Rhinolophus ferrumequinum: one gene and its partners. The protein of the gene in region 1 interacts with the protein of each later gene in a biochemical or structural test. Links are inferred from orthologs where the notes say so. Each region holds a gene or a part of one and is shown in the gene's direction. Other genes may lie near its edges.

Region 1 (7,023 bases):
GTGCCTGCCTTTTTCTCACACACTTTCGGCTGGTTTCTGTTGGTTAGTGGTGTTTAGCTATACTGTTATAACGACCACTCTATTTTCAGACTTTTTTTTAAGATCCAGTTTTCAGGATTTATTTTAGTGTAGAAATTGAGTGCCCTGGTTTTGCCAGTTCTTGGCACTCAAGCCCCACTGAAAGTAAAAGGCTCCAATCTCATTAGGGAAAACTGCATAGTAACCTGCAGACAGGGTGTCTAAACATCTTTATTTTAGCTCCTTAGACCTTTCTCAGTACTCAGGGCACTGCAGCACATCCTAACTGCTGCAGCTTCCAGCAGGTGACTGCCTCAAACAAACGATGGGGTGGAATTTACAGTCCTCAAGTAACTGGGTAGGGAGACTTGAAGAGCAAAACCCTGGGCCTCTTTATCCAGGAAGATGCTTGACAGGAATTAGCATAGTGGTAGTTCTGTGTTCTAGGGAAGACCATTTTTTTAAAAGCTTATTCAACCCCAAATGTATAGTGCTTTATTTCTGCCATATAGCCAGTTTACATTTTTAGTCCACCACCAGAGTTACTGGAGACAGTAGTTGTATCTACAATATGGTTAATGAGTACACAGTACATAAAATATAAACGTTGCTGCTTCTCTAATTGGCATAAAAGCCTAGATGCAAGAAAGTAGTCTTTATAACATAGTATAGGTAAACACCAGTAACCAACAAATAAAACCTGAGGTTTAACAAGATTTAGGTTTTCATTTTTAAAAATGTCCTTTAACGGTACTATTCAAGATTTCATTCATTCTCTAAAGCTGTGCTGTCCAACACAGCAGCAATTAGCTACATGTGGCCATTGAGCATTTGAATGTGACTAGTCCAAATCGAGATGTGCTATAGGTGTAAAAGCCACACTGGAGTTTGAAAACTTGGTGTAAATAAAAGAATACAAAATATCTAATGAATAATTTTTATGTTGTGTACACATTGAAATAATACTTTTGACATATTGGATTAAATAAAGTATGTTATTAAACTTAATTTTACCTTTTTATTTGTATTTTGAAATGTAGCTACTAGAAAATTTAAAAGTACATATGTAGCTTACATTTGTGGCTCAGTCTATATTTTTATTAAACTGTGCTTCTCTCGAGGCTGAGACTAACTACATCAGCGTGACTACACTGGAATTCGACCTGTACTTGTATATATTTTTGTCAGTTGTCATAGTTCATTAGTCACTAGTTCAAAGTTTATAATGTGGGTTCAATACTTCTGAATATATATTTTTGTTTTCTTCACACTGTTCTACTTTTAAACGGTGTTTGCCCTCTCCTGAGAACCCCTTTCCCACTTTGCCTACTTGGCAAATTCTTCTTACCTTTTAATAGTCAGTTGAAGCATTATTTTCTCTGTAAAATTTTCTCTGAACTCCCTTGTTCCACACCTGCACCCCAAGTAGAAATAAACACTCTGTTCTCTGGGATAAGACAGTATCTTGCCCAATATCTACGAAATGCCTACTGTTTGCTGAGCACAGTGATAGGTGGTCGAGGTATCCAAATGTGAACGAGAGGGATATGGACCCTGCGACTGTAGTGTTTGCATTTAGAGTGGGATACAGACATGTAAACACCAGGTCACAAAATGATGTGGAAAATGCTCTTATAGGAGAGATCAGGGAGCACATATATACAAAGCTCTCCCAGACTACTTCTTTGTGGATAAACATAGTGAGCCTGTACTATAAGTATTTGATCCCTTAGGAACCCTTGGTTCACAAAATACTTATGTTTTTAGGTATATAAACTGAAGGACATCTTTTTCACATCACCACTGGTTAAAATGAGAATTGTCTTTAAAACACAAATTACTGGGAGGGGGTTGGGAGCCTGGGTCAAACAAGTGAAGGGATTAAGAAGTATAAATTGGCAGTTACAAAATAGTCATGGGGATGTAAAGTACAGCATAGGGAATATGGTCAATAACATTATAACTGTATATGGTGTTAGGGGGGTACTAGACTTATCAGAGGGATCACTTTGTAAACTATATAACTGTCTAACCACTACGCAGTACACCTGAAACTAACATAATATTGAATGTTGAATGGCAACTGTAATTGAAAAAAATTTTTAAAAATACAAATTACTGAACAGGCATTCTTATGTTACACATATGCCCCAGTATCCTTGCAATGACTCTCCTAGCCAGAAAATTCAGGTATTAATTTTTTTAAAAACAAAGAACAGTAACAAAATGGCTCCAATTAGCATGATTAAGTAAAAATGAATTCCACAAAAGGTGTGCAATTTACTTAACATTAATGCACTATCAAAAAGAGATCAGGATTTCAGTGATTGGATTTCTGTGGAGTTGAGAGGATAGATTAATAATAAGAGGTGAATGGCGCTGTTAAGTCATGTGACAAGTGGCAGTAGGGTTTTTTACACGAGTGTTGAAGGGCAGGACTAATGCTTGGCTTGTTGGGTTAATTGTGTAACCTCACGCATTAGGAGGTTGTTTATCTACCAATCTCAATGATCCAAAACCTAGTTAGGAAGGAAAAAAAAAATGTTTTTCAAAGCAACATTTGAGCAGTCCAGATATCTATCCCAAAGTCTATGCACTAAGGTTCACCTGCCTTACTCCTTGGTGAGCTGCACAGAACCTATTTAGTTTTACTTTACATTGAATTGTGACAAGTGAGGCTATCTGGATTTCCCAGTCTGCAGCAGACTAGAAGCTGCAAATCGGAAGAGGAAGAGAATATCAGCGACAGACGTGTGCTGGCAACACAGAAAGGACAACAGATTGTTGGTTAGTGAAGGGGGAGAGAGAGGAACTATAAAAGGCAGAGATAATCACTAGGTCAGTGTCCTAGAGTCCTTTCCTGTAGCCATTGGTAGCTCACATACCTTCTGGAAGCATCCCTAACACCTAGGAAGAAGCCTTAGCGCACATTGAATGGGAACTTGATGTATTTGTTGAATGCAGTAGAACCTACTACGATAAATACTTTTTATAAAATTAACCCTGAATTTTCAAGAAAAAGCCAAAGGAAGTCCAGTAAATTGCTTAAGAGAAACATTGATGATACATGTTATAAAATCTTTGTACAAGTTAAAAAGAATTAAAAAAATAAAGTGACGCCTTAGAGGGCCAAGCTCTAATTATGCTGATCCTCACTTAATTTGAACAGTTTGCATCACTCCTGGATGAAGGATGTACTATACAACAGCAGACTTAGCACTAAGTTCCCTTGAGCAGCTTTCAAACTGCGGTATATGCAAATAATAAGCTATCATATGAGAATTAAACTATATAGGATCACAACAGATTGCAGTTGAATCACTAGGTGATGTAAAAGATTGTTCTAAAATTCACCATCACCATTAAGCAGAGTAGTCCTACTATGTGCCTAGCCCTACTATGTACTAGGTGCTGGATTTATTAAGCATTAATTTGAAAAACTGCTTTCACTTTTAAGATTGTGAAGATATTCCAAAACTCTCATTCATATTTTTAAAGCATAAATGAAATTTTAAATGCACAATACAGCCATTACATAACAGGCATAGAATACTGTTTTATGACTTGCATAGTTCTTTTTAAGCACACTAGCAACTCTATTTTCAAAAGCTATATGATTCTAAAGGATATGAAAACCTACATATAAAAACGGAGTGCCTCATTTGTTTTGTGTAATAAGTGTGATAACACAGGCATGCCATTTCGGAGTTTAGGGTGAGGCTTTAAGCCGTACTTTGGTGTTTCTATATCAAGCAAAAACAATTTCAGCAACAGCACTCATTTCCCCCTCGTCTTTTTTTTTTTTCCTGGCGAGTTACTAAATGCTAGATGCTAGAGTCAAAAAGAAACCTGACATCTGGGGAGGTGTTGAGGGGGTGTTAATAGTTATAGTTAGATGTTTGGGGAGCGTTGAGGATAAGATTTTATAACAGCAAATACAAGAAGGGAGAAATTATGATCTCTCCTCCCTCCACTTTCTCTCTTCACCAATCCATATTCCCTCAATTTAGAGGCGGGTTCAGCGAGATTAGGCTGCAGGAAACCCAGAGGCTCCACAGCGCTGCCGCCCGGGCCTCGTGATGTAATTGTTATTTCTTATTCCGAGACTGAACCGTGGAGAGCTGCCGAAGAAGTGGCAGCCTTGTTCCTTTCGCCTTGTCTGGCAGGGTCAAACTCTTCCCGGGGATGAGTATATTCGCTGACAAGACTCCGCTGGTGACTTCGCAGTGACAAAGCAGCTGAAGATAAAACCCTGCTCCTGGGTCCTTCGTCCGTCCAAGGAGCTGAACGGGACACTCCTCAGGTCTCCTTCCCAGTTTTCCTCTTGGAATCACTCCGCATTTATTCCTGGGTGCCTACTACGTGCTGGGCGTGGGGTCAAAGTGACCTGGAGTTAGTGCCCGTCCACCCTGTCCCCCTAAGATTAAAGCAGGACACACAGATCACAAGGTGGTGAAGTTGGGGGTGAGTGAGAGGGAGCCAAGGGAACGCGTGCTGTTGGGTGAAATGGGAGGAGGCGCCAGCACCCAGGCGGGGACCCTGGGCGTCCCGGCCCCCAGGCTGTGCCCCAAACGCGAGCCTTTGGCCTGTGTAACGAGAACGACGCCCCGGGCCCCAGGGAGGAGCTGTCCAGGCGCCTTCGGCAGTCGGGGGCGGCTGGACAGAGCCGGGAGCCCGGGGGACGGCTCGGGTGCGAGAGGCGCCCATCTCTCCCGGCCACCGCGGTCCTCCCGCTGCCTCGGGGCCCTACAGCCCCCGCCCGGCCGTTCGGAGGGCGGGCAAGGAGGAAAACAACACAACAGAGGGGGCTCCTCAGCTCCCGTGAGCGGCCGGGACCCGCGTGGCTTCCTCCGGCCCCGTGACAATGGGAGGGAGGGGGAAAAAAGGGTTAAGAAACTTGGCTGAGGAGCTGAATGGCGTGGAGCGGCGAGGGGAGGGACTGGGCCGCGGCGGACTCGGCGGCGGAGGGAGGAGCGCGGCTGCGGGCGGGCGGCGAGTGAGGCGCTCAAAGTCAGCCTCGCAGACATTGCAGCAGAGCCCCGAACTCGGGAGGCGGCGGCGGCGGCAGCGGAGAAGGAGGAGGAGGAGGCGGCCGCGAGGCGGAGGGACGACCCGGCCCCACGCCCGCCCGCGCGCGCCCGCCCGTGGCCTCGCGTCCGCCGCTGCGCTTGGCAGCGCTGCGGCTCGGAGGGAAGAGCTCGCCCGGGCGCCGAGGGAGGACGGGGCGGCAGGGCGCCTTCGTGGAGTGAGCCTGACGGAGCCCGAAGCTCGGAGCCGCGGCGGCCTCGGGTGAGTGGCGGCCGCAGCCGGGGGGCTCGGAGGAGCGGCCGGCGGCGCCGCCGGAAACGGCTCGGGAGCGCGGCCCGCGGCGGCGGCGGCGGCGGCGTTGGCGGGCAGGGCCGCGGGGGCGTCGGGGCGGCGAGGCCAGCGCGACCCGCGGCGAGAGCGAATGCAGACAGCGGGGAGGGCTCGGCGGCGGGGAGGAATCGTTTCCGGGGGAATCCCGCCTCTTCTGCCGGCTCCGAATCTCCCCGGGACCTCGGGGGGCCCGGGCAGCGGGGCCGGCAAGTTGTGGAGTTGGCCCGGGGCTCACTGGCCGAGCTGTGCCAGTCCTGGGTCGAAGGGCGGCCGTGTGCCCTGCGAGCCCGGCCAGACGCGGGGGACCGGGCCGGGGTCGCGCCCCGCTCGGCTGCCCCCTCGGCCCCGAGTCTGGGGCGCTTCTCGCCGCGCAGCTGTAGGTCCTGCTGCCCGGGGCGTCCTGGGCGGCGCCGGGCGCCGCTCCCCGCCTATCGCCCGGTGCCTCCCTGCTCTGAGCTTGCCTGATTCCCGGCCAGGAAAAGTGAGTAGGAAAAGGGACAGCGCTCCCAGACCCCCAGCCCCACGCGCGGCCCGTCGGCACTGTCCTTCCCCCTCCCGAGTGCGAGCGCCCTGGACCCGAGGCCTCAACCATCAGCTTTACCCCTGAGCCAGAAAACGGACTCACATTTAGGGTGAGCCCGTGGAGATCTTGGGAGCCTTCTTTTCTCTCCCCCTTCATCTATGTTCTCCTTACTACTAGTGATTGTTGTTGTTTTATGAAGGGTTTCCCTGGAAATATTCCACAAACCCTCCCATTCTTTCCAAAATAGTTGACAAATTTTCATCAAGAGTTGGTTGGTGTTCAGTCTGAAGGAACAAAGGAATCAACTGTGCCTGAGAGGCGAACGAGCTGGGAGTCAGTGACACATGTTGATCTCTGAAGCATTACGGGAGTTTCTACCTTCTGTCCCATTAGTGACTTAATAGGCTTCTGGGGATAGTAAAGTAACAGAATGATAAATACTTTTGAGTTTTTAAAATATTTTTTAATAGGACATTTTATTTGGAGGCAAAAAAAAAAAAAAAAAAAAATTCCCAGCTCCAAGGACTTTTCACTCACTTGGTGGAACTGAGTTGGAGTTTGTTTCCAGTAATGTAGAAGATTAAATGTGAGATTGTACAGGAAAAACTGTCTTTAAGGGAAGGAAGATTGTCTATAGATGTCCAAAGGAAAAATGATTGTCAGTTTTTATATGATAAATTCTCTTTACATTTTTGGGGAGGCATTTCTGAAGTAAAGGGCTTTGGTAATTCATTCTTTAAAGTTATGAATTGCGTTGAACCTGCTTATTAGTGAATCATAGGTTTAGCAAGTGGGTGGCATCTTCCTGATGTAATTATTCAATGTTTAATCACCAGTTTGCTACCTTTGTTGAAGAGACACTGAAGTAAGTGGACGTTTTAAACAAATGGTGCTTCAACTGCTTGGCACCTAAGTGTGGGTTGCTGCCTGGAAGATGTTGAAATATTTTTCCTTCGAAGTAAGTTGTACTGGTTTTGCTCAGCCATTTGGTAATGTGGATTGGGTTTAACTGGTTCAGAGACTAGTGGATTCATGACCAGTAGTAACTTTTCTCTGCCTGCAATTAGTTCCTGGAGACAAAGAAGAGGCAGTCAATGGAACAGCCACTGTAGGCTGTAGGATTG
Region 2 (7,703 bases), on another chromosome or scaffold:
ACTTCTAGTCTGTAAATATCAGAGACAGCCTTTCCATGCACCACCTCTTCCCTCCACACCACAGTAGCTTCTTAGGACCCACAAGCTCTCTGGCTTCCCCACAAGGGTGGGACTCCATGATAATCCTCCAGTGCATGAGAGAAGAGATGCTGATATCCCCTTCGGATGTGCAGGGAAACTCTCCCCAGAAAGTGTCCCTCTCAAAACCCCCTTTCACTCCACTTCCTTTTGCTGTCTGTTTCTTCTCCCTCAGCGCTGGTAGATGCTGAGCTCCCACCTCTGCTCTCTTATCCCTGAGCCCCAACCTCCTCATCATGTTGGCTGGTCTTGCTGGGAAAGGGGTCTGGCTGGAGAAGAGGGGCAGATGGAAGCCAGGCAGGTAGTGACATGGCAACACTGAAAAGTTTCTAGCAGAAAAGGCTAGAATAGGCTTGGGGTGGAGTAAGAGGCTGTGAGGAACAGGGTTTTTGGTACTCAAGGGGTTGGAGACATTCCTTATCTAGGCTAGAAAGAAGTATAAGGACAAGTGGTAAGAGTCTAGATCCAGAAACACTGAAATACTTGGCAAACATATAAGGCACAGAGGGAAACTGAGTCAGTCTCCTCCCCTAATGGAATATTTTCTTTTGGAAGCTTGCCTGGGTCCCCCCACTGTGGGGAGTTAATTGGCAGCAGATGGATGGGGAAAGAGAGTCATTCCCACGCACTCATACAACAGCTGGCTCCAAAGCAGTTCCCTCGCCCCACCAGTCCCTACATCAAAATCCCTGCTTTCTATCTATCTGGGGGAGGGAGGGAGGATGGGGGAGAGACCTACATGGTGGCCCCAACTCAGGAACAGCCCTGCATCCCCTACAGTTTCCTATCTCTGTCTTCCCACTGACCTCACAAGAAGTCAAGAAAAAGACCAGCCAGAACAGTAAAAGGCAGAATTTGAACCATCCTTGGAGTAGTTTTCTAACACCCTGAAGGACACCTTCCCTCTCCATACTCCCAGCGCAGAGAAAAGAGATACTATGATCCTTAGGCCTGGACAGTGGCAGAGAAGGAGGCCAGCCTGCCATTCCTTCGCATTGCCCCTCCCACCAGGTCCTGAGAGCCACTCTATACTCTTGGCCTCCATACCAGCCTGGCCCACGTGTCCTTTAACTGGATGGGGAGGGCTGCGGTATGGTAAGACCCAAACTCTACGGTAAAGAAGATAGTCCCTTACCTCCTCCCTCCTCTCTCCTCTTGGCAAAGGCTGGATGAGCAGGTTCTGTGTGGGAGTGAAACCAGAAGCTGGGAACTTTAGGGGATCCAATACCTGGCACATATTAAATGCTCAAAAAAAAAAAAAGTGTCAAATGAATGAATAAAAGCAGGAGAAATCCTGAAAGACGTCATGGAGAAGGTGTCAACTTTTCCCACTTCTTGCCTCAGCTACCAAAAGCCAGGCTCAGCCTGGCCTGAGTCCCTTACCTGGCTCCCTTTTTTGTGACCCATAACCAGGGTATCTGATAGGATAAAGATGATTGATGAGAGGGCATTAAAGTGTCTACTTTACTTTTAGCAGTGCAACTATTTGCTAATTCCCCAGGCTGTCTCTCATCTCTGCCAGCCACTTGATCCCTAGCTCCCATAAACTGTCCCCTCTTTCTTTCCTTTATTTCCACCATCTTTTCTTGATTGAGAGATCACTAAGGGGGAAGAAACACCTGGGTTTTAAATTCTCTTAGCTGGCGGTACCTTAGTTTCCTCTGCTGTCTTCCCAGAACTCCCCAATAAGTGGGGCTGTGTCTGCAGAGTCAAGGGGTCTCTGCTGGACAGCTTATCACTTGCTGCCACCATCCAGGAGGTCAAAATGAGTTCAGGGAGTGGAATTGTTGAGGCCCAGGCCACAGAGCTAGTGCCCAGACAGGCTGGTTGAGGGCCTATCCCTTGTTTCCCCAAACTGCCTGGGGCTTCTTGGCAAGAGAGGAGCATGCTGTGTGGGGTCTTGGCTTCAAGGCTTTTGGGGGAAGTTCTTCAGAAAGATATCTAGATCCCTGGTTTCTAGGGGTGGGGCCCTCGAGAAATCTTGGGGTGCTTCCTAGCAACAGTCTGGGAGGGAGAAAAGGAAGAAGGAAGAGAGGGAGGGGCCTGGGCATAGCTGCTCTGATGGGAGCCCAGAGAACAGGCTGTTCCTGCTGCCTCCATGGCAACGAAAATATAAGAGGGAGGGGGCTGCCAAGCATATCCCCTTGGAGGGTCTCTATCCATCCTCACTTGTGCCCCACCTTCCTGTTCTCCCAATAGACAGCCCTGAAGCAGAGGTGGGGGGATGGGAGGAGACAGCCCAGGTGAGGATTTCATGGTAAGGAAAGAAGAGGAGCTGGAGATGAAATGACTCTGAGAAGAGCTAGAAACTTCAAGAATTGGGGCGTAGGTAGGGGTGGAAAGGGCCATGAAACACAGGGACAGGGGCTATAAGCCCGGACCTGGGCTGGGACCTGGCATCTGGCCAAATGTCTACTTTAGAGGCAGTGTGCCCTTCACTTTGCCCTTGCCCAGGTCTGTTAGCAGCCCTTATTGGGAGCCAAGGACAGGGAGAGAGGTAAGGAGAAGATAGGAATGGTGAACACTTGTCTTTGAGTTCAAGGTGCCCCACTGTGCCTTTGGGGTAAAAAAAAAAAAAAAAGGTAGATCAGGAGGTATTTCATTTTCTATGGCTCTGGGTCTAGGATTTCAAAAAGTCTCCTTCACCCAGTATCTTTAAGGCCTTTCGTCATAGAGAGATGTGGTAGGGGAAGCCAGAATGGAGGGGAGACAAAACCATAGTACTGTCATCTTCCCTCGGGACTCAGTCACCCTGCCCTAATTAGATGACAGCTAGACCTCTCCATTGCCTCCTGGTTCTGCCTGATTGATGCAGAGCATAAATGTATCCCATGCTTTGGGATTCTCTCCCCCGACTCCTTGGGCTGCCCAATCTCAAGAGACTATTTCCACACAGGGTAGAGCGTGCACCCTGAACGCTGCACACCACAGCTTTGCTCCCCAGGGTTTCAGCGAAACCCGATCACCCAGGAGGTGGTATCAAGGGCAGATAGCTACCCTCAATGCACCTCACACTGCACGCTGCAGCCTTCTGCCCCACGCTGCAGCTGTTGCATGTCCACTGTGAGCCCAGGCCGAACCCACAGGTTCACTGACTGCATGCTGACTCTGCATACTGCAGCCTCCATTCCCTACTGCAGCTGCCACAACTCCACACTGCAGGCTCCCTTCACCCATGGCATACCCCTCATCACCAGCACTCCACTCTGCAGCCCCAGGCTTTCATCCCAGCGATGCTTCTCATCCCCATGATTCCAGCGGGTCCCAAGAGATGCTCCATCCCCTCCCCATGCACGGTAGACCCCAATGCCCCCTGTAAGCGAAGTGGCTGCAACAGAGATGAGGATGCAGGTGGCTGAGACTGAGATGAACCAGGGCAGCCCAACTCAGATAGGCTGTTGGTCAGAAGCCCCACACTTAGCAAGTGATTTTTGTAGAACAGCTCCCCCTTCACATACACACACACACACACACACACACACACACACACACACACACTCCAACAGCAGACTGTGGAAACAGGGCCCAGCCCTGAAAGCCGTGGGAAGGCTGTGGCCCCCGCTGGTAAAACTGGGCTAATGACAGCAGGGGAACCGGCGGGGCCAGAGGGGGTGCTGGGGTAATTAGAGCTCTGCCTGGCGCTCGGAGATCCCGAGATGAAAGGGGCTCTGGCGTCACTGGGATGGTTTTATGTCCATGAGTGCAGGTGTGTGTGTGTGCAATGGGGTGGGTGGGAGCTGGATGGTAGGGGAAGGGCATCCATTTTTATGCAGGCTGCCTTCCTTAAATTGGCCCTGATACCATTTGGATTTTGGTGGGGGTAAACATGGAAGGAAATACCACCTCTGTGAAGCTGAGAGTTGATGGGGTAGAGCAAGTCTTGCCCCCTCCCCAGCCGAGCAAGAGGACCAGATTGTTGAGGAAATGGCTGATGACAGTGAATAAAAAGAGCCTATATTGAAATAGGGTGACATTTGAAAGGGGAGGCAGTGGATCAGGTAATGATGTTAGAAATGAGAGGGGAAGGAAGCGAGTAAATGGCGAGTAATGGCGAGTAAAACTCCAAAAGAATTTAAAACATAGATGATTGAAGTTAAAAGGACCTCAGGGGTCACCTGCCGAACCCTGGTATTTTAAGGTTGAGGAAGCTCTGCCCCCGACAGCAGGGGTGATTTGCTCAAGGTCACACAGTGAGTTACTGGCAGAGAAGAGACCCGAACTCAGAAACAAACTCGAAACCTCCAAGGGTTTGGTATTTAGACTTTCGCCCTACTTATAAGGTGCAGGCGTCTCGTCAATACTCCCTTCTCCATCCCCATGGTGCAAACACCAAAACCTTCCATTCTTCCAGCAACTGAAGACTATTTTTTAAATGACATCTTTTTCAAAATATGTCACCCAGTATCACTCCTGCCGGAGACGCCTGGAGTGGGGAGGGCGAGTCCGAGCTGGGCGGGTGTAGAGGCGGCCGAGGGGCGGCCGGGCGGCTGGCTGGCCGGGGTCCCGGGGCGCGGCGGGGGGCGGGGGGCGCGGGTCGGCGGCGGCAAGGCGGCCTGCAGGGAGCAGCCGCGAGCCGGCCGGGCGCGCCGAGCAAGAGCCCCAGCCGGAGCGGGGCGGGGGAGGGAGGAGCCAAGAGCGGCCGCCGCCTCTGCCGGAGGAGCCGCGGGGCCGCCACACTCGCCCCCCGCCCCCCCGCGCTCACTCGCACTCACACCCGGGCGCAGGAGGCGGGCGGCCCGGGCCCCACCGGCCCCCCATGGACGCCCCCGGCACGGGGCGCTGAGACCCCGCGTCGCTCTCCAGCCCTGTCCAGCGCGCCACGCCGAGGTAAGGGGGAGGGAGCGAGGGGGGTATTAATATGCAAATACCTCACGATTGATTATGCAAAGCCACAGGGCTCTCTGGCCAGCTCCCGGCGGGCTGGGGGCGTCCGGGGGGGACCCGCCGCCAACCTTAGCCTGCCCCCGACGCCCCTGAGACCCTGTCACAACCCGGGAGCTTGCAACTTACGCCCTGAGGAAGGGAGGTGTTGCTAGGAGGTCGGTGGGCCCCAGGGTTCGCCGGCGGAGATGGCGTCCAGGCCTCCCCCTCGAGGGCCCGCCCGGCCTCTGTCCGGCCCGTCTGCTGCGCATTCCCGGGCCCGGCCCCGCTGCCGGCCGCCGAGCGCCCCCGCCCGCCGCGCCGCGCCGCGGTTTGTTTACGGTGCGCGGGAGGCCTGCCCCTCAGCCCCCACCCCTAGCCTTCCAGGCCGAGGCCGAGTGGCCTTTGCAAAGCTGCCTCCAGCTGCGGAGGGCAGTACGTGTGGCGTGGGGAGTGGGCTTGCAAGGGTCCCGGGAGAGGGAAGCCCCCCCCTCCACCCGCCTCCCCAGTTGAGCATGGCTCTCTGGTTGCAACACTCCTAATTGCAAAAAACGCGGCTGGGGGTGGGGTGGAGGTGTGTGTGTGTGTATGTGTGTGTGTTGGGGGGGAGTGTATTTGAGGGTCCCCAGATGATTAGAGTTGCAAGCTAGGGTGGTTGGGGAAGAGAGGGAGGAAGGGACCTGTGTTGTGTGTACCCCCCCTTTTCCCCTCCCCTTGCAACGTGTCTCCTCTGGTGCCCCTTCTCTGTCTGGGGCCCTCCCTTGTCCCGTGTGAAAGAAAGGCCTGGGGAGGGGGGCAGTGATAGGGGCAATGGAGAGAGCCACTGTTTCCAGGGGTGGAGGTCGAAGGAGGGCAGCCAGTGGGATGGTAGCCCACCCCTCAATGATGGCTCTGGCCCCAGGAGGGGGAAGGGATGAAGGGGACTGTTGTCCAAGATGAGAAGGGAAGCAAATGTGACATGCAGACACCAAGATATGCCCACATAGACAGCCACATGCACACCCAGGGACACCCAGGCGTACTCAAGGACAGGAGCTACTGGACACACCCACATGGGAACAAGGGAAGTGGCAGGCTGCTGCTGCACTGGGGAGCTCAGAGGGATGGGACACACCCACGGGAGACCGACCCATGCACATACCTACGCACAGGGTCACACGGAGACGCTGTCACACACAGGGGCAAGGAGGAGTCGCTGTCACCCACACAGAAAAAGTCACTATCGCATGCATACATGAACACAGAGCAATTGCACACCGCCGCACATTACAAAAGACCCTGTCACTCACAGGCACACACGTGCTTGCATGAGCCCAGTCACACAGGCATCAACGCCTGCCGTGACAGTCGCTGTTACTCAGTCAAATGCAAACGTAGTTACACATCAACACATGTATACACAACTTAGCAACAAGTATTTTCCTGGACTTCTACTGTGGATCTCTGAGGTTCTGTATACAACAAAACCCCTGCTCCCAAGGAAATTAAATTTGTGTGAAAAGACTTTCCTGCGTAATGGTGCAAGGCATGCATTTGTGATAATGTTCTCCGTTGCTTGTTATCCCACCCTACTAGATAGTGAGCTTGAGACCTGGCAGAATCACTCCAAGAGTGCTGGATCCCACCCAGAGCCTAGCACAGGAAGTGCTCTGTAAATACTTGTTAATGGATTGACTGTGGGAACTCCGGACACAGGTGCACTGATTTGCACACAGTCCCAGGGACTCAGGTGCAGAAGGTGTTCACAAGGCGCAGGTCCACAGTCACAGGTCCAGGTCGACAGTGGTGTCCAGACAACTCCAGACGCACACCCCTAGATGCACACATAGTCATGGACTTTTTCCCTTAAGTTTCCTTCTGTCTTCTTCCTCCAGGCTCAGCTTTTTTTTTTTTTTTTTAAGGGACAGAGAAACTAGAGCAAAGAGTAGGGGCAGGGGGGTTCCAGAGGGCCGAATCACAGGCCTGAAGCAGTGTCCAGTGACTTCCAGCAGCTGGGATTATCCTGGCTGCTGAGGGAGTGGGTGCTGCAGTCCTTATCCCCACCCTAAAAACAAATGGTGGGGCAGATCTAGCTGCCCCTGCTGGAGTCATTTGTCTGAGCCTTTTCTGGGGGCCTTTCACTCACCCCCAGCTGAGTTCCTGCCTCTCACCCTGAGTCTGGCTCCTTTTCCCACCTCTGCCCTCCTGTCTAAACTTGGAAGCTTTCCTTAGGAGGCCGTATGCTGGTGAGTGTCTGGGTGAGTGATGTGTATTTTTGACTTGGAATTTCTCTCTAACGCTGTCTCTCTGTTGCTCTGTCTTGCTGTGTCTGATTCCCTCTCCTTGTTTCTCTGCCAGACTATAACTCTCACCCTGTCGCTACCCCTGTCTACCCCTGTTCTTGTCTGTTTCTGCCACAACCTCCTTTCTGAGCTGGGAACTGGCAGTGATGTTCTTCATAGTTTTCCGGTTGTTAATACTCAAACCCCGCCCCCCAGTCCCCGCCTGCCCTGTCTCTGGGGTCATCGAGAGGTTGGGGTGGGGGGCGGGGGGCTCAGCTGGCTGTTCAGGACATCCTGCACTTCCTCAGTGCTGCAGCTGCAGGCCAGCAAGTTTTGGGGGCTGGGAAAGGGGGGAAGGGAAAGGGGTCACCAACTGCCCATGCTGACCTCTCAGGCTGGCAGGCTCTGCCAGGAGACACCAGACCAGTGGAAGCTGGATGTGCAGGCCACATCCAACTAGCTCCTAACCAAGCCAGTGAGGAGCTCCCTTCCACACTCACCCAC
Region 3 (7,594 bases), on another chromosome or scaffold:
GAACTAAAACACTTTGCTGAATGAAATGAATGAATGCATGTACTGTGACAGAATAGGTATAGCATTCATTCTGATTGTATTTCTTTATTCTAGAACAGCTATTTATAACAGCATTGCTAAAATGTATTTCTTTTTTTCATAATATTTAGCAGGAATAAGGAACCCATAGACATACTTCGGCATCTGAAACCTCAGAAAGCAATCTCACCTCAACTAAATAAAAGGATAACATTGCTTTTGATAAGGCAAGTCAAATATTCTTAAACTTTTATAGGCAAATTAATTGTTATAAGGAAAAAAACTCATGTTACTACATAAAAATTGCTAATAAAAAATTTAAAAATTTAGCGATGGCCACGAATCACACCTCGAAAACTATGTTCTATAATGCTGATATTAGGAGTAGAGAGTGATAGTTTCTAGAAAGTGGCAAGTCACTATACTACAACGATTAATTTTATTGACACACTAAGCAAAAATGTTAAGGGAAGTGTATGGTGTCACTATTAGAATAAAATGAATTCTAAAAATCTTATCAACATTCTATTTTAATCTTGGTTATACAAAGATTCATTACTTAACTAAGAATGGAATATAACAAAGCATTATATGATTTCTGGATAATGAAAATAATCTTAAAGTCAAACAGAATATAAGGGTATGTAAGTAGAACAAAATAAGAGAATGATTGTACCAAATAACCAAAAACCTTTAAAAAGGTGGATTTAATTACAGTGGCCAAGACATGGAACCAACCAAAGTGTCCTTCGATAGATGACTGGATAAAGAAGATGTGGTATATACACAATAGAATACTATTCTGCCATCAGAAAAGATGAAATAGTACCATTTGTGACAACATGGATGGATCTTGAGATTATTATTCTAAGTGAAATAAATCAGACAGAAGAAGTTGAGAACCATATGATTTCACTGATATGTGACATATAAAACTGAAAACAACAAAGGAACAAGACAAACAAATGAAGAAACAAAAACTCATAGACACTGAGAATAATTTAGTGGTTACCAGAGGGTAAGGGGGGAGTGGCGTGGTAGGTGATGGTAAACAGTATCAAATATATGGTGATGGAAGGAGAACTGACTCTGAAGTGGTGAACACACAATGTGATGTATAGATGATGTATTACAGAATTGTACACCTGAAATTATGTAACTTTACAAACAATTGTCACTCCAATAAACTTGAATAAAAAAAAAAGTGGACTTAAAAAAAAACCGCAACAACACTGAATTATTATAAGGTTGATTGATGAGACTTCATACATACTAAAATCTGGCTCTCTCTGAGGCTATCATTTTCCTAAGAGTTCTCCCAAATGGTGCCTAATTATTTTCTCTCATCACACATCCATGATACAGGGTTGATGTCCACCTAGTTCCCTGTTGCCACTTCCCAGAACCCTTTTACTTTATGGTCCTGTAAAATTAAAACAAAAGCCATCAACCCATCAACCACAAAACACACTATTCCTTTGTAGCTCATGTTGTAACACCCTCCTCATCACATCTCCTTTATCTTTCTGATCCTAAATTACTAGCCTACGACATCTCACCCACCATTCTCCTCTTCCCCAGCTTTTGTAGAGGAGTTCTCCGCAAACTTTAGGTACATTTGAATCACCTAGGAGACCCTGTTAAATTTAGACTATGACTCAGTAAGGACACCCAGAGATTCTGCATTTCTTATCACTCCCATGAGAAGCTGTGGACCACTTTGAAGAGTAAAGCACTAGAGAGTCTATTTCTGCTATTATCTAATCTACTATAATCCTAATTCTCTATTTCTGCTTTGGCACTTATTCCCTCCTGTTTTTAATATCTATGGTTCCTTTTCTGCTCCTTGTCTTTCTTACAGTCAGTCTCCCTCAACTATTTAAGCATCACGCATTAAAAAAAAAAAAAAAAAAAAAAAAAAAATCTAGTTTAACTCTTTACTCCCCCTAGCTACCATCCTAGGTCTCACTCTTTCACAGCCCAAATTTTCAAAAAAGAAATTGTGTTTGCCAATGTCATTTCATCTTCAATTCAATTCTGTACCCACTTCAGTCAGACTTGCAGGTCCATTAGTCCACCAACATAGTATTCACAGAAGTCACCAATGACCCCACGTTGAGAAGCCAAAAAAGACATTTTCAGTTCTCATCTTATTTGAACCTCTCAACAGCATTCAATACTGTTAGCCACTCCTGACATTTCTCTACCTTTTCCTCCATGACACAATAGTCCCCTTACTCTTCTGTTACCATTCTAGCAAATCTTTACAATCAGTTTTACAGGACCATAAACTTCTTCTATCCAGCTAATAGTACATATTGAAGTTCTTTGGGGTTCCATACTTCTTTTCCAGTATATATTCACACCCTACAATTTCCATGCTCTCAGCACCTAAATGCCAATGACTTCTGAATTTGTCTCAAGCTTATACATCTTTGTTACAAACCTGTATATTCTATGGTCTACTTAATATCTTCTCTTCGATGTCTCAAAGGTACCTCAAACATGAGATCCAAAGCTAAGTTAATTTCCCACTAGTACATGCCATTGTCACATAGCTAGATACATAATCCAGAAAACTATTATTATGTTTTTGACATGTCCTCTTCCCTCACTGTCATAAATACACTCCATTTTCGAAGACCTCCCAAATATCTATGGAATCTATTCAGTTTTCTCCATTTCCACAATCACCCATCCTAGTATCAATAATTGTCATCTCTTGGTTGGGCTACCGCAAATGGTTTCCTGAGGAGTGTTACTTTTATCCATTCCACTCTGTTGCTCCCTCTTTAATTTGTTCTACACCCTGCAGATATGGTGATATTTTTGAAACACAAATTTGATCATTTGTGCCTGTCTCTGCTGATCATACTGAACTTGTTTTAATCCTTCATACCTGCCCTCCTTCTCATTAAAGGGATGTTGCTTGTACTATTTCATTGGCTTGGAATGTTCTTGCTTTCCCTTCCTTTCTCCTACGATAGCCTACTTTATCCTTCAGACCTCAGCTCAATCATCATTTTTTAAGGGAAAGCCTACCTTTGCTTCAATGAGTAGGTCAGATTTATCTACTAGAAAATCATACTGAATCATGTACTTCTCCATTACAGTATTCCCCAAGAGCATGGTAAATTTCTGATTTGTTCACCATGGTCTCCCCACAATTCCTGGCACATTGGAGTTCCCCCGCAAACATCTATTGATTGAATTAATGTGTAGAGGGGATATCAGGTGAGGAATCCTGAATGGTATGGCATTTGAGCTGGTATTATTGAAGAATAAGGTGGAGGTAAATGAATTAGGGATATTGCAAATAACAAAATTTAATAGTTTTTGCTGGGGTATTTATATATAAGTGGTAGCAGAATTGAAAATGATTCATAGGTCGATCGGGAAAATGGTAACACCAATGAAAAAGTTTCAGCTAAAGAAAATGATGAGTTAATTTATTGATGCACTGAATTTGCAGTAACAAACTGACCAGGTGGAAACGGCTTGAAGACATTTTAAAATGTAGGAATGGATGTGGTATGAGATGTCACCCAGATATCTTGATCTGGATGCCCTTCTGCTCCTGACACACAAATATACAGTTAACCACACAGAAAGAGTCAAAAATCCTGGAAAAATTTGAGATTACTCTCTCTTCCCCTATTTCCTTATCCTTTTCTATCATCTGTATTTTCTCTCTTTTCTCCATTCCACTGCCACTTCCGTGGACTTGCACTGGATTATTTCAACAAGCTCCTAACTACTCTCACCGCATCAAATCTTGATCTCCTTGTAATCAATCTGGTTTGCACTTTCCTCCCAGGGTGACTTTTCCAAGACACCAGAAAGTCAATCTCCTAGTAAGTATCTAAAAGGCTTTCATTGCCTACAGAATAAAATTTAGACTCTTTACCAAGGCTTTATGATTTGATCCTAAATTCCTGAACTGCACTTCTAGCTCCTCTGTCCAACCATACCACACTACTTATTATGTTCCAATGCCTCATGCTTCCCTTCTTCCTTGCTTCCTTCTTTTCAACCTAATTGAAACAAAGTTATTCTGGCTAGGAAAAAGATATTGTCTAGTACACAGACCAAAAAAAAAAAAAAAAAACACCAAAAAAACAAAAAACGAAAAAAAGAAAAAGAAAAAGCCAAGGAAACTGCCAGCTTTCAAATTCCAACTCAAATGTGGGCTTCTGAAGCCTTCCCCTCTAGGAAAATTGAGGCCCACAGGTTATCTGCCAGTTTACTGTAAATCCTAGCCAAAAGTTAGCTGAGTCACTGTCTCTCATATAGGTGAAGTTAAGCTCACTATTTGCCATGTCTATCCTTTAGACAGTATAGCTATGAAGAACTTGGCTATATGTAATTTGTTGTCACATTTCTTTCCAGGCTCGAAATGTGGCCACAGAATCCTCCCCTTGACCTCAAGAAGATGGCTACGGAGAGACATCGTTACGTCTTACGTCACTACGTGCTGAGAAGGTGGGGCCCTCAAGGGAGGGGGTGAAGGGCGGGGCCAAGTTGGGTGGGGCGGGGCTAGAAGGGGCTGGGCGGCTCTAGAGAGAGAGGTCGGGGGCACTTCTGCAATTAAGCTGGTGCGCTCAGCGATAGGAGGACACGCCGGGAAGGTCCACTTGACATTCTGTCCCGGGCGCGTGCCCGGGACCACCGGCTCAGACCAGGCGCAGCTGCATAGCCGAGCGGAAGCTGGTGGCACCGGGAGTGGCGTCCAGAGCTCGAGCTCCACAGGCGGGAAGCACCCAGGATTGGGGAAGCCCCGGGAGCAGCGCGGCGGCGCCTCCCTTACCCAAGGACCCGCGACGACGGTCACGGGGCGCGGCGCCACCGTGCGCGATCCGGGCCGGCATTCCAAACAGGCGACCCAGGCTCCTCCTCGGCCCGGCCCGCCTCACCTGCGGGGCAGCGCCGCGCCGCCTCCGCGGCTGTAGACGGCACCTGCGCTGCGTCTCTCACCGGTCTCCGCCCGCCGCCCGCCAGGAGCCAGGCCCGGCGGCGCACCTGGACGCGGGGGCTGCGGGAGCCGAGGCTGAGAGGGCGCGGTGTCTTCCCGCCGCTCCGGGAGGACGCAGGTGAGGCGGGCGCGGCTTCGTGGAGCCGGGCGCCGGCCGCCGCGGCCGTCCCAGCCACAGGCGGGTCCCGGAGCCCCGGCCGTCTGCGCCCGCTCCCGGGGAGGAGCCGCCCGCGGTTGGGCACCATGAACGGCAACGGCGCCAACATCACCTACGCCAGTCGCAAGCGGCGGAAGCCCGTGCAGAAAACGTGAGTGTCCGGAGCTCGCCCTCGGTGCGGGGGCTGGGCGCTCAGGCGCGCGGGGGCGAGAGGCGGCCCCACCCCGCCCCCAAATCCCCGAGGTCTGGGGATTAGGTCCATTCCTGACACGAGCGGTGGAATCGAGATTTGGGGGCGGGTCGAGCGACCCAGGCCTTAGATTTCTTTCCCCCATTTTTTATTGTATGTTAAAAAATGACCCCCGTCCCCGGCGCGCACGAACCCTCTCACACCCCCGGCCATTTGCAGCTGTTTTCTGTGGTCCTAATTTGTTGACAGCTCTGGTCTGCCCTGTGGGGCTGGTGGCTTATTTAGCATAAACCCCTCTTGAAATCCCCTTCCATGTTTAATAACCTCTACGGTTAGAGGACGGTCATAATTCTCATTCCTGGTAAAGCGAGGTGTTTTAAAGAGCTGACCGTGTGCCACTGCAAGAAGGGAGCTCAAGTGCTTCTGAAGGTATTTCTTGGTCAGGTGTAATTGGCATTTCGTTGCACTTTTGTTTACTTATTTGGCAGTGATTTTGTAGGGCTCCAGATGGCCGTATCGGTAAACTGTATAGAGATGGTAGCAGGTGTGAGTGAGTCTGGTGGGCAAGGTCCAGTGGGGGGATTCGATTTTTCAGCTATCTTTTTGGGGAGTTCCCGCTTTTGCGGTGGTTTTAGGGTCTGTACAGTACAAAACAGATTTGGAACTGGACTTAGTGAAACAGACGTTTTCATTCTTGATATCTTTCTCTAATTCCCTTTTCCCCCTACTTCAAAGTTTTGTCAGTTCTAATGGAGCGATTCCAGACAGATTTTTTTGTTTGCCTTGGTGGGATATTTGTGTGAGATAGCAAATACTTTAAAATAATTTTTTTCAGAACAATAAATCCTGGTTGAGACAGATTTACTTTTGTGAGTTGGCTGTATTCATGTGTTTATTCCTTGTTATCTCTGAGTTACTTCACGTTTTTCAAATTTTCATAAACAATTTTAAGAACACATTACAGATTTACTCAGAGCAAACTAGAAGTGTGCATTTTGCCTAAAACTTAACTTAGACCACGAATCCAAACCAGAAAAGTAGTTTAAGCTTTATATTTAAATCCGCCAACTGGTGTAAGAGTTTAATTATTCTGGAGTTTTAACTTTCTTTTAGAATTTCAATATGAAGAGCATATTGAAGAGCATTCAGGTCTAGACTTGGCGTTAACAGAGGATATTCATCTATAAAATCGACTGATTAAAATTTAGAAGTCTTATGCTGCAGAGTGGCTGACAGGAATACTGCCGAGTCAGCAATTTTTTGTCTTGGCAGTTCTGGGACATTGATTTACAAACTAGCAAAAGTAGAGTGATTTGTCTAATTTGGCTTTGTCCTTGATGGCTAAAGTTGAGAGGCATTGCAAATGCCTATTCTATGTATTTATTAATACAGTAGCACACTTACCATAATTTATAATAGAGACATCATGGACTTTTTTTATATATAGTCAGAAAACTTGGAGATCTCCCTAGTGGATTTTTAAGTTACTGATTTTTTTTGTCGTGTGTTACAAAAAGGCTTAGATGACTTAAAAAAAAAAGTCATATACCTTATTTTTGTATTCATTTTTATAAAGTTTAACATTTTTGACTTATAGATAACATTTTATTAAAGATCTTCCCTTTACACATACTGCATTTTCCTTTTATTTTTATGTAAGCTGTATCTTTTATCTTAATATTTTAATATATTTCCTAAGACTTTAATAAAGTTGCATGTAATAATCTCTTGTAATACAGTGTTGCTAAAGCATTTTCCACATTACCCCTATTTTATTTTATTTAGTATAGATGTTTATCAGATATTTATTGTGCACCATGCATTGCTTCTAATCATATAAATGCCTTAAAATGTCACTTCATTGCTCCATAAGAAAAGCCTAGTGCTGGCATTTACAGAATCACATGAAATTGTTTACAAATTAGTTTTGCCTGAGTGAAAAACGGTTAGCTTTATAATGCAGTTAATTAAAGTTCATTTTAGGAATGCGGCCATAAAATCTAATATTAAGTTTAACATGGATATTTTTAAGTTAAATTACTATTTGTAGCTAATGGGGTCTAAAATAATGCCAACATTGTCAGAAAAACACATCTTTGCACTGAAAATGCTTTTGAGATTTAACTTTGACCTCTTAAGTGAAAGCTATTTTATTTTACTTAAAGAGAGAATATGTTGTAGCATAATTATAGAGCTGTTGATAAGACAGCCATCTAAATATATAGTTCTATAAAATTTTGGAATCAAGTCGGTTACA
Region 4 (6,965 bases), on another chromosome or scaffold:
GGGAAGAGGAGGACGGTTGGACAGAGCCAGCCTACTGTCCGCCCGCCGCCCGCCGTGGCGTGAAGGAGTTCCGTGTGCCCAGCGTCACCACTGCCCAACCTGGGCTGCCGGAGCCTCCCCTCGGACCCCCGGTGCCCCCTGCCCACCCTCATCCAGCGTGAGAGCTCGCCTTCCGCTCCGTAAGTGAGGGCCTGGGCCCAGGCCTCTAATGGCCAGCCTCCCTCCTCAGTGCCTCCCTGCGGCCTGGGCTGGCCACTGCCTGCTCTACTGGGTGACGGGTGCCCGCTGCTCTGGGCAGAGAAGGGGCCGGGGATCTCCCCAGACCTGCCCTCCCATCATGTAACCCCCCTTTTCCCGAGACGGCTGATGGGAGGAACTAGGCCTATGGGGACAGACTCAATGGGGTCTGGGGTGTCCTGCTGTCTATTGAGGGGGGGCAGTGTTCACAGGGCTGTGTTGACCCAAGTCTGGTAGTCTGTGTGTGTGTCCATCGTCCCTGGTTTCCCTGCCTGCATCTTTGCTGTCTCTGTGCGTGTCTCTGAGTCTCTGTGGATTCCCTGTCTTCAGTGTCCATCTGTCAGTCTGGGGTCTGTGGCTGGGCCAGGTCAATGTTTGCTTCCCTGGGCAGGTACGTGAGGGGCTGTGATTCCCCTCATGAGCTGGAACCTGAGGCTGAAAGGCGACTGCAATGGAACCTGGAGGGTCAACCCAAGTACCCCTGGGGAAGAGGAGGGTTGAGGAGGAGGAAGAAGGGGAGGACTGGCTCACAGCCCCGTCCCCTCCTCACCTGGCCTCCCAGCCCGGGCTCTATTTATACCCTGGGTCTTCCTCAACAATGTCCAGGGGACCCCAGTGGGCTTTACCCTAGAGAAGCCAAAAGGAGACCCCCTGCCCAGCTGTCCCCCTCAATCTCTTTCACTCCCCCTGCAGAGGAGGTGCTGCTCCTGTTTTCCACTTTCTGAGGGCCCCTCCCTGATGTTAAGAGACAGTAGACCCCCCCACCTCCAGCTCTGGCAAATGCTGTTCTTTCTCAGGGCCTAGGGGTAGAGGAGTCTGCAACTAACTGTGCTTCTGGCTCTCTGTCCTCCCTCTTCACCAAGATTCAACCACAGAATCTCTTGGAAACCGCAGAACCCCTTATGTAGGGAGGGCCCCTCTTTTTCATGTCATATACGGAGAAACTGAGGGTCACAGAAGCTAAGTGACCTGCCCGAACTTGCACAGCAAATCCCAGGCAGATTCTGCCCGTTATTCCGCCCGCCGGCTGAGAGAGATGAGGAGTGGTCTGTGAGGAGTCTTCCGCCTGGCCCTCGGCCCCTGGGCTCGCAAGATCAAGGCCCCAGCTCCAACCAAAGCAGGAGGCCTTCTATCTGGGGCCCAGATGAAGCCGGCTGCAGCCAAGGGTCCGAGCCTTCAGATCTGGGCCTTTGGGTCGGTTGCGTCGCAGCAGATTCATAATTAATTGCTCTATTTCCCATCTTAGTCTCGCTGCTCTCAACAATCTACTATACCCTAGGTGCCCGAAGGGGGTGGGGAGCCGCAGGATGCCAGACGGCCCTCTTCTCCTGCGTCTCAGCTTCATCTGAAAAAAAAAAACACGACAGTGACCCGGCAGAGCGAGAGCTCAGCCCGTCCCCGCCCAGGGAACCGCTTGTGCCCAGGGCTGCCAGCCTCTCCTTTCCCCTGCCCCCAGACCCGTTGGAGCGCAGAACCAGAGCGGGGAGGGGTTTCTCCTGCCCCGGGCTCTCGACTCCCAGCTCCCGCACCCTCGTTGGCTTCGGGTCCTCACCAAACCTCGGAAAACTCGCAGGGTGGGATGACCACGATCCCCATTTCCAGCCGAGCAAACCGAGGCCCACCGAGGAGAAAGGGTTTGCCCAGGTCTCATGGATGGACACTACTGATCGCCTCGCAGTACACGCACGTGCTTTGTCATCACCACTGCGGTTCATCCGAACGACCATCCTCAAGGAAGGCCAATCATCAGTCCCACTTCACAGATGAGCAAACTGAGGACCGGAGAGGCGGGAGGTGTGCTTAAGCTTCCAGTGAGACTTGAACTGGTGCCTTGGCCACGGCCCCCAACGTTCGGCCTTACCCACCTCCACGCTGCAAAACGACTAGCGCCCCTAGTGTGGCCCTCGCCCCCACTAAGCTGAATTGGCAAACGGGCTCTCTTCCTCCCACCACCGGCCGGTGGCCCTAGGCTCCCAGGCGCCCAGCACCTGCCTGATGCGGAGCCGCTGGGGCTCCGCGGTGGGGGCGGGTTGGGGCTTGGGGTGGGGGGTGCGCCCAGAGGGTTAGGGTAAAGGCGCGAGCCCGGCTAGGTGGCGGGGGAGGGCGCGGGCCAAGCCTGGGGTGGGGAGGACGCCGGCCTGGCCTCCGCCCCCGGATACAGCACGCGCCGATATAGAGGGGCCGGCTTTGGGCCCGGGGCGGCTGGTTCGCTCGGCGCGCACTAGCGGCGGAGGGGCCCGGGTCCCAGGTGCGCGGTGGAGCAGCCCTGGAGGCGGCGGGGGCGGGGAGGCGCCTGTGGGGGGAGCGCCGAGGCCCCGCGCCCCCGCCTCCCCGCCCCCGGCCCGAGCGGCTGTCATCGCGGGCGGGCGGCGCTGCGCCCGGGTGCGGCTCATCGCCGGCGGCGGCGGCGGCGCGGCCGGGAGGTGCGGGACTCGGCGCGGGCGGGACGCGGGCGCTGCTGCTCGCAGGAGCAGCCAGGTGGGCGCCGCGCGGGCCGCGGCCGCCGTCGCGCCCCTTCTTGCTTCCCGGTCCGGGCTCTGCGCGCTTCCCTCCGTGGGACTTCGACTCTCTGCCCGAGGTCGTTCCACCGCCTTGGGCTCGGCCTCCGGGAGCCCGCGGGGTCTCCGCCCGAGGTCTCTGCGCCTGGCGCCGGGCCTGCGGCTCCCCGCCCGGCGCCCGCTGTCTCTTCTGCGCCCTCTCTTCGTCTCTCCGCCCGACGTCTCGGGCTCGGTGGCACGGGCTGCGCCTCCCGTCGCCGTCGCTGCCTCGGGCTTTGTCTCTCCCGGCCTTTGGGCCCTCTGTCCCGGGCGCCGTCGTTTTCCATCCCTCTCGGCTCGAGTTCCCGTCTGGGTCTGACTTCGCGGGGCCCCGCCTCGGAGCTCGGGCTCCGATCGGCCGTTTTCCGTGCGGCTTCAGGTCCCGACCACCTGGCTGGGCTCCTCCGTCTCTCCAGGTTTCTCTTGGCTCTCGGCGTGTCTCATCTGTCACTATGTCTCTGGTTCTGCGTCCGTCTCTCCCAGGTTTTCTCGTTTAGCCTCTGTCTCTCAGTGTCTCTGCTCTCTCTTTCTCTGTTTCGTTGTCTCTGCCTCTACGTCTTTCTCGTCTCTCCAGGTTTTCTCTGACTCGGCATCACTGGGTCTCTGTCACTAGGATTTTCGTGTCTGTCATCCTGGGGGTCCTCTCTCCGTTAAGCAGCGCGGGTCCGTGTCTCTCGCTCTCGTCTCGGCCCATCTCTCTGTCTCTCCCAAACTGTGTGCCTGTGTCCCTCGTCCCTGTCAGATCCCAAAACACTCGGGCCCCACTGCGTCCGGGTTCATTGGCATCTCCCGCGCTGCCGAGCCCATCTCATTTTCTCAGAATCGGGGTTTTGTTCTCTGATGAACGAATCTGGATGGAAACACATCGAATGCGAGGGTCCGCGCTGGGGCTCGGCGGGGGCAGCGAGGGAGGAGCCCCCAGTTGGGGAGGGGAGCGCGAGGCAGCCACGGGGACCGGGAAGGAGAGGCCGGCGCGGGGCGCGCAGGGCGCTCTAATGGGTGGCCTGCCTCGGGCGGCTTAGCCCAGGGCGTTGTCCCAGGGGCCACAGGCCGGGCAGGAGGAGGGCGCCGTGAGCGCGCGGCCGCGGTGCTGCAGCACCCCCGGGACTCAGGTCTGCGGCGCTGCCAGTCGCCGTCCCACCTGCGTTGACCTGACTCCTTCCTCCCTCCGCAGACGGACGCCGCGGGCATGGACTATTCGTACGACGAGGACCTGGACGAGCTGTGTCCCGTGTGTGGGGACAAAGTGTCGGGCTACCACTACGGGCTGCTCACATGCGAGAGCTGCAAGGTGAGCGGGCCGCCGGCCGGCAAGAAAAGCGCGGGGCGGGGAGGCGAGCGCAGGGGAATGCGGGGCAAAGCCCTGCCAGGAGGTAGAGAAGGGTCGCCCCCCACCACGCTGACTCCCCTCTCCCTAGGGCTTCTTCAAGCGCACGGTGCAGAACAACAAGCACTACACGTGCACCGAGAGCCAGAGCTGCAAGATCGACAAGACGCAGCGCAAGCGCTGTCCCTTCTGCCGCTTCCAGAAGTGCCTGACGGTGGGGATGCGCCTGGAAGGTGCGCGCGCCGCGCTGCGGACCTCCGACCCCTGACCTCCGACAGAGCGAGTGTAGGGGGTGGAGTGAGACAGGAGAGAAGGGAGGGCGCCGCTTTCTGGGGCCCGGTGGTTGGCCCCTCACGTGACAGTCCAGCGGATCTCTGCCGGACAGGGGTAAAAACTGGCCTCGGTCCGGCCCAGGTGAGGGATGTGTGCAGGCCCAGCCTGGGTTGAGCTGAGAAGTATGTGAAAGTGGACCCCAGAAAGATGAGCCTCTCCCCAGCCCTTGGGCGGGGTGGGCTGCACTGGGCAGAGCCCTGCAGAGCTCTTCCCTCTGTGAAAAGTTCTGCAACACCCCCACTGACATCTAGCACCAGCCAGAGCAAGTCCTCTTGGCTGCTCAATACCTTTACTGGAGTTCAAGTTCCAGTGCCACCACTTACCGGCTGGGCGACATTAAGCAAGTTCCTTAAGCTCTGAGCTGCAGATTCCCCATCTGAAAAATGGGCTTCGTCGCAGTGCCTTCCTCATTGAGTTAGTGAGAGAATTGTATGAAAAGCTCCTAATATCATACCTGGCAAACAGTAAATGCTCAACGGGTTAGCTTTATTATTATCAAGATTCTTTACGATGTTATCTATCCACCATCACTGCGCAGCCCTCACTCATCCAGCCTACCCATCTGTTCATGTGTTCATCCATCCAGAGGATTCACTCAGTAGGCAAGAATTCCCACCCTGTTTTTAGCCAGACCCTGAGGGCTTGGGCCTGGGGAACAATCTCCCCCACAGGACTCAGGCCCATTCTTGCCTCCCTACCCTCAGCCCTCAGTCCAGAGGGAGGAAAGACTCAAGCTCTTTGAGGGTGGACAGTCATAGGCTTCCACCCTGGGGGCCCCAGCTGGGCTTTGCACTGAGCAGGCAGCTGATGGCTAAAGTTTTTAAACAACATAGAAGGAGAGCTGCAGACCACAAGTTCTGCCACAGAGGAAGGACTCCTGGATGGAGGTCTCCTGGCCTGTCTCCAGAGCCCATGTCCCCAGATCCAGGTCCCCAGGGGCCAGGAGAGATGGTTATTGTGAGCAGCATAAGCCCCTAGTGGGGCCTGAGCTTTCTGAGGAGGGCAACCCACCCCTGTGGCAGGAAGCTTGGCCGGGCAGGCGCCCCAAGACACGTCCCTTGCTGAGTGTTGCCCTCTTCCTCTTACTCTTCCTTCTCCTGGAGCTCAGGATAGGGTACTGTCTGAATAGGGGCTGGGGCCACACTGCAGCTGCAGAGATGCAACATTTGGGTCTAATTGGTGACATATTCGTGGCCAGGCAGAGAGACATCTGGTCAGCAAGGGGTTCCTTCCCCCAGCACAGAGCCTGAGCTAACTCTAAACTCAGGTTCAAATTTGAAGGCAAATTTGAGTCATTTTGCAACAGGGTTTTGACAGTCAGTAAACAGCTAGATATTGGGACCCAGGTGTGAACAAGGCTGTTTGGGGCCCACTTCCTACCTCCATCTCCCTGCCATGCCCTGTGCCCAACCTGAACCTATTGGTGAGCCCCCAGAAGCTCTCAGCCTGGGTCACATGGCATGGTACCGTTCAGCGGGGTGAGAGTGGGCAAGAGGCAGGACATCTCGAGCAAGGACAGTGGATTCTGCCTGGGTGAATCCAAGAATACTTCATGGAAGTGGTGATCTGAGGGCTGCGTGTTCAGCAGGCAGAAGAGAAGGAAAGGGTTGGAGGCAGAAGGAATATCAAAGGCAGGGTAAAGACGAAGAGGAGCAGAGAGATGAGGAAGGTGGAGTGGAAAGAACACAGGGTCTCATGAGGGAGACAAGGCCTTGGGCGCCCGGCTAAGGAGACTGACTTCACCTAACGCAGAGGGAGCCATGAAAGCGTATTGACTTAGGAGCCACGAACGCGTATCACAGTTAGATCTGTTTGGGAAAGATCTGTGCGTGGGGCAGTACAGAGGGTGGTTTGGAGGGGGTGAGCCTGACCCTTGCCTCTGTCCACAGCTGTGCGTGCTGACCGCATGCGGGGCGGCCGGAACAAGTTTGGGCCCATGTACAAGCGGGACCGGGCCCTGAAGCAGCAGAAGAAGGCACAGATTCGAGCCAATGGCTTCAAGCTAGAGACAGGCTCCCCCGTGGGGGTACCCCCACCACCCCCTCCCCCACCGGACTACATGCTGCCCCCTGGCCTGCATGCGCCAGAGCCCAAGGGCCTGGCTTCTGGTCCACCTTCTGGGCCACTAGGCGACTTTGGGGCCCCAGCACTGCCCATGGCTGTGCCTGGCACCCACGGGCCCCTGGCCGGCTACCTCTATCCTGCCTTCCCCGGCCGTGCCATCAAGTCTGAGTACCCAGAGCCCTACGCCAGCCCACCGCAGCCTGGGCCACCCTACGGCTACCCAGAGCCCTTCTCTGGAGGGCCTGGCGTTCCCGAGCTCATCCTGCAGCTGCTGCAGCTGGAGCCGGACGAGGACCAGGTACGGGCGCGCATCGTGGGCTGCCTGCAAGAACCGGCCAAAGGCCGCCCGGACCAGCCTGCGGCCTTCAGCCTCCTGTGCAGGATGGCTGACCAGACCTTCATTTCCATCGTGGACTGGGCACGCAGGTGCATGGTCTTCAAGGAGCTGGAGGTGAGTACCTCCTCCT

Evidence for each region.
Region 2: the proteins of NRIP1 (region 1) and THRA form a complex in vitro, tested with the Homo sapiens proteins (4 studies listed by BioGRID). The link is inferred for Rhinolophus ferrumequinum from reciprocal best matches to the Homo sapiens genes NRIP1 and THRA.
Region 3: the proteins of NRIP1 (region 1) and AHR form a complex in vitro, tested with the Homo sapiens proteins (2 studies listed by BioGRID). The link is inferred for Rhinolophus ferrumequinum from reciprocal best matches to the Homo sapiens genes NRIP1 and AHR.
Region 4: the proteins of NRIP1 (region 1) and NR5A1 form a complex in vitro, tested with the Homo sapiens proteins (2 studies listed by BioGRID). The link is inferred for Rhinolophus ferrumequinum from reciprocal best matches to the Homo sapiens genes NRIP1 and NR5A1.

The regions. Positions count from the first base shown.
Region 1 is NC_046285.1:11,293,680-11,300,702, forward strand, and holds the start of NRIP1 (nuclear receptor-interacting protein 1), read left to right. Parts: upstream 1-4,010; 5' UTR 4,011-4,321; exon of another isoform or gene 4,322-4,482; intron 4,483-5,116; exon of another isoform or gene 5,117-5,307; intron 5,308-5,531; exon of another isoform or gene 5,532-5,857; intron 5,858-7,023. UniProt on the Homo sapiens protein: Modulates transcriptional activation by steroid receptors such as NR3C1, NR3C2 and ESR1. Also modulates transcriptional repression by nuclear hormone receptors.
Region 2 is NC_046304.1:36,563,719-36,571,421, forward strand, and holds the start of THRA (thyroid hormone receptor alpha), read left to right. Parts: upstream 1-4,703; 5' UTR 4,704-4,905; intron 4,906-5,088; exon of another isoform or gene 5,089-5,245; intron 5,246-7,703.
Region 3 is NC_046303.1:21,923,122-21,930,715, reverse strand, and holds the start of AHR (aryl hydrocarbon receptor), read left to right. Parts: upstream 1-4,575; 5' UTR 4,576-5,233; coding exon 5,234-5,298; intron 5,299-7,594. UniProt on the Homo sapiens protein: Ligand-activated transcription factor that enables cells to adapt to changing conditions by sensing compounds from the environment, diet, microbiome and cellular metabolism, and which plays important roles in development, immunity and cancer.
Region 4 is NC_046295.1:74,340,973-74,347,937, reverse strand, and holds the start of NR5A1 (steroidogenic factor 1), read left to right. Parts: upstream 1-3,955; 5' UTR 3,956-3,963; coding exon 3,964-4,065; intron 4,066-4,192; coding exon 4,193-4,334; intron 4,335-6,323; coding exon 6,324-6,949; intron 6,950-6,965. Other genes in the region: translation initiation factor IF-2-like, read right to left, coding at 2,203-3,238, 3,371-3,468. UniProt on the Homo sapiens protein: Transcriptional activator. Essential for sexual differentiation and formation of the primary steroidogenic tissues. Binds to the Ad4 site found in the promoter region of steroidogenic P450 genes such as CYP11A, CYP11B and CYP21B.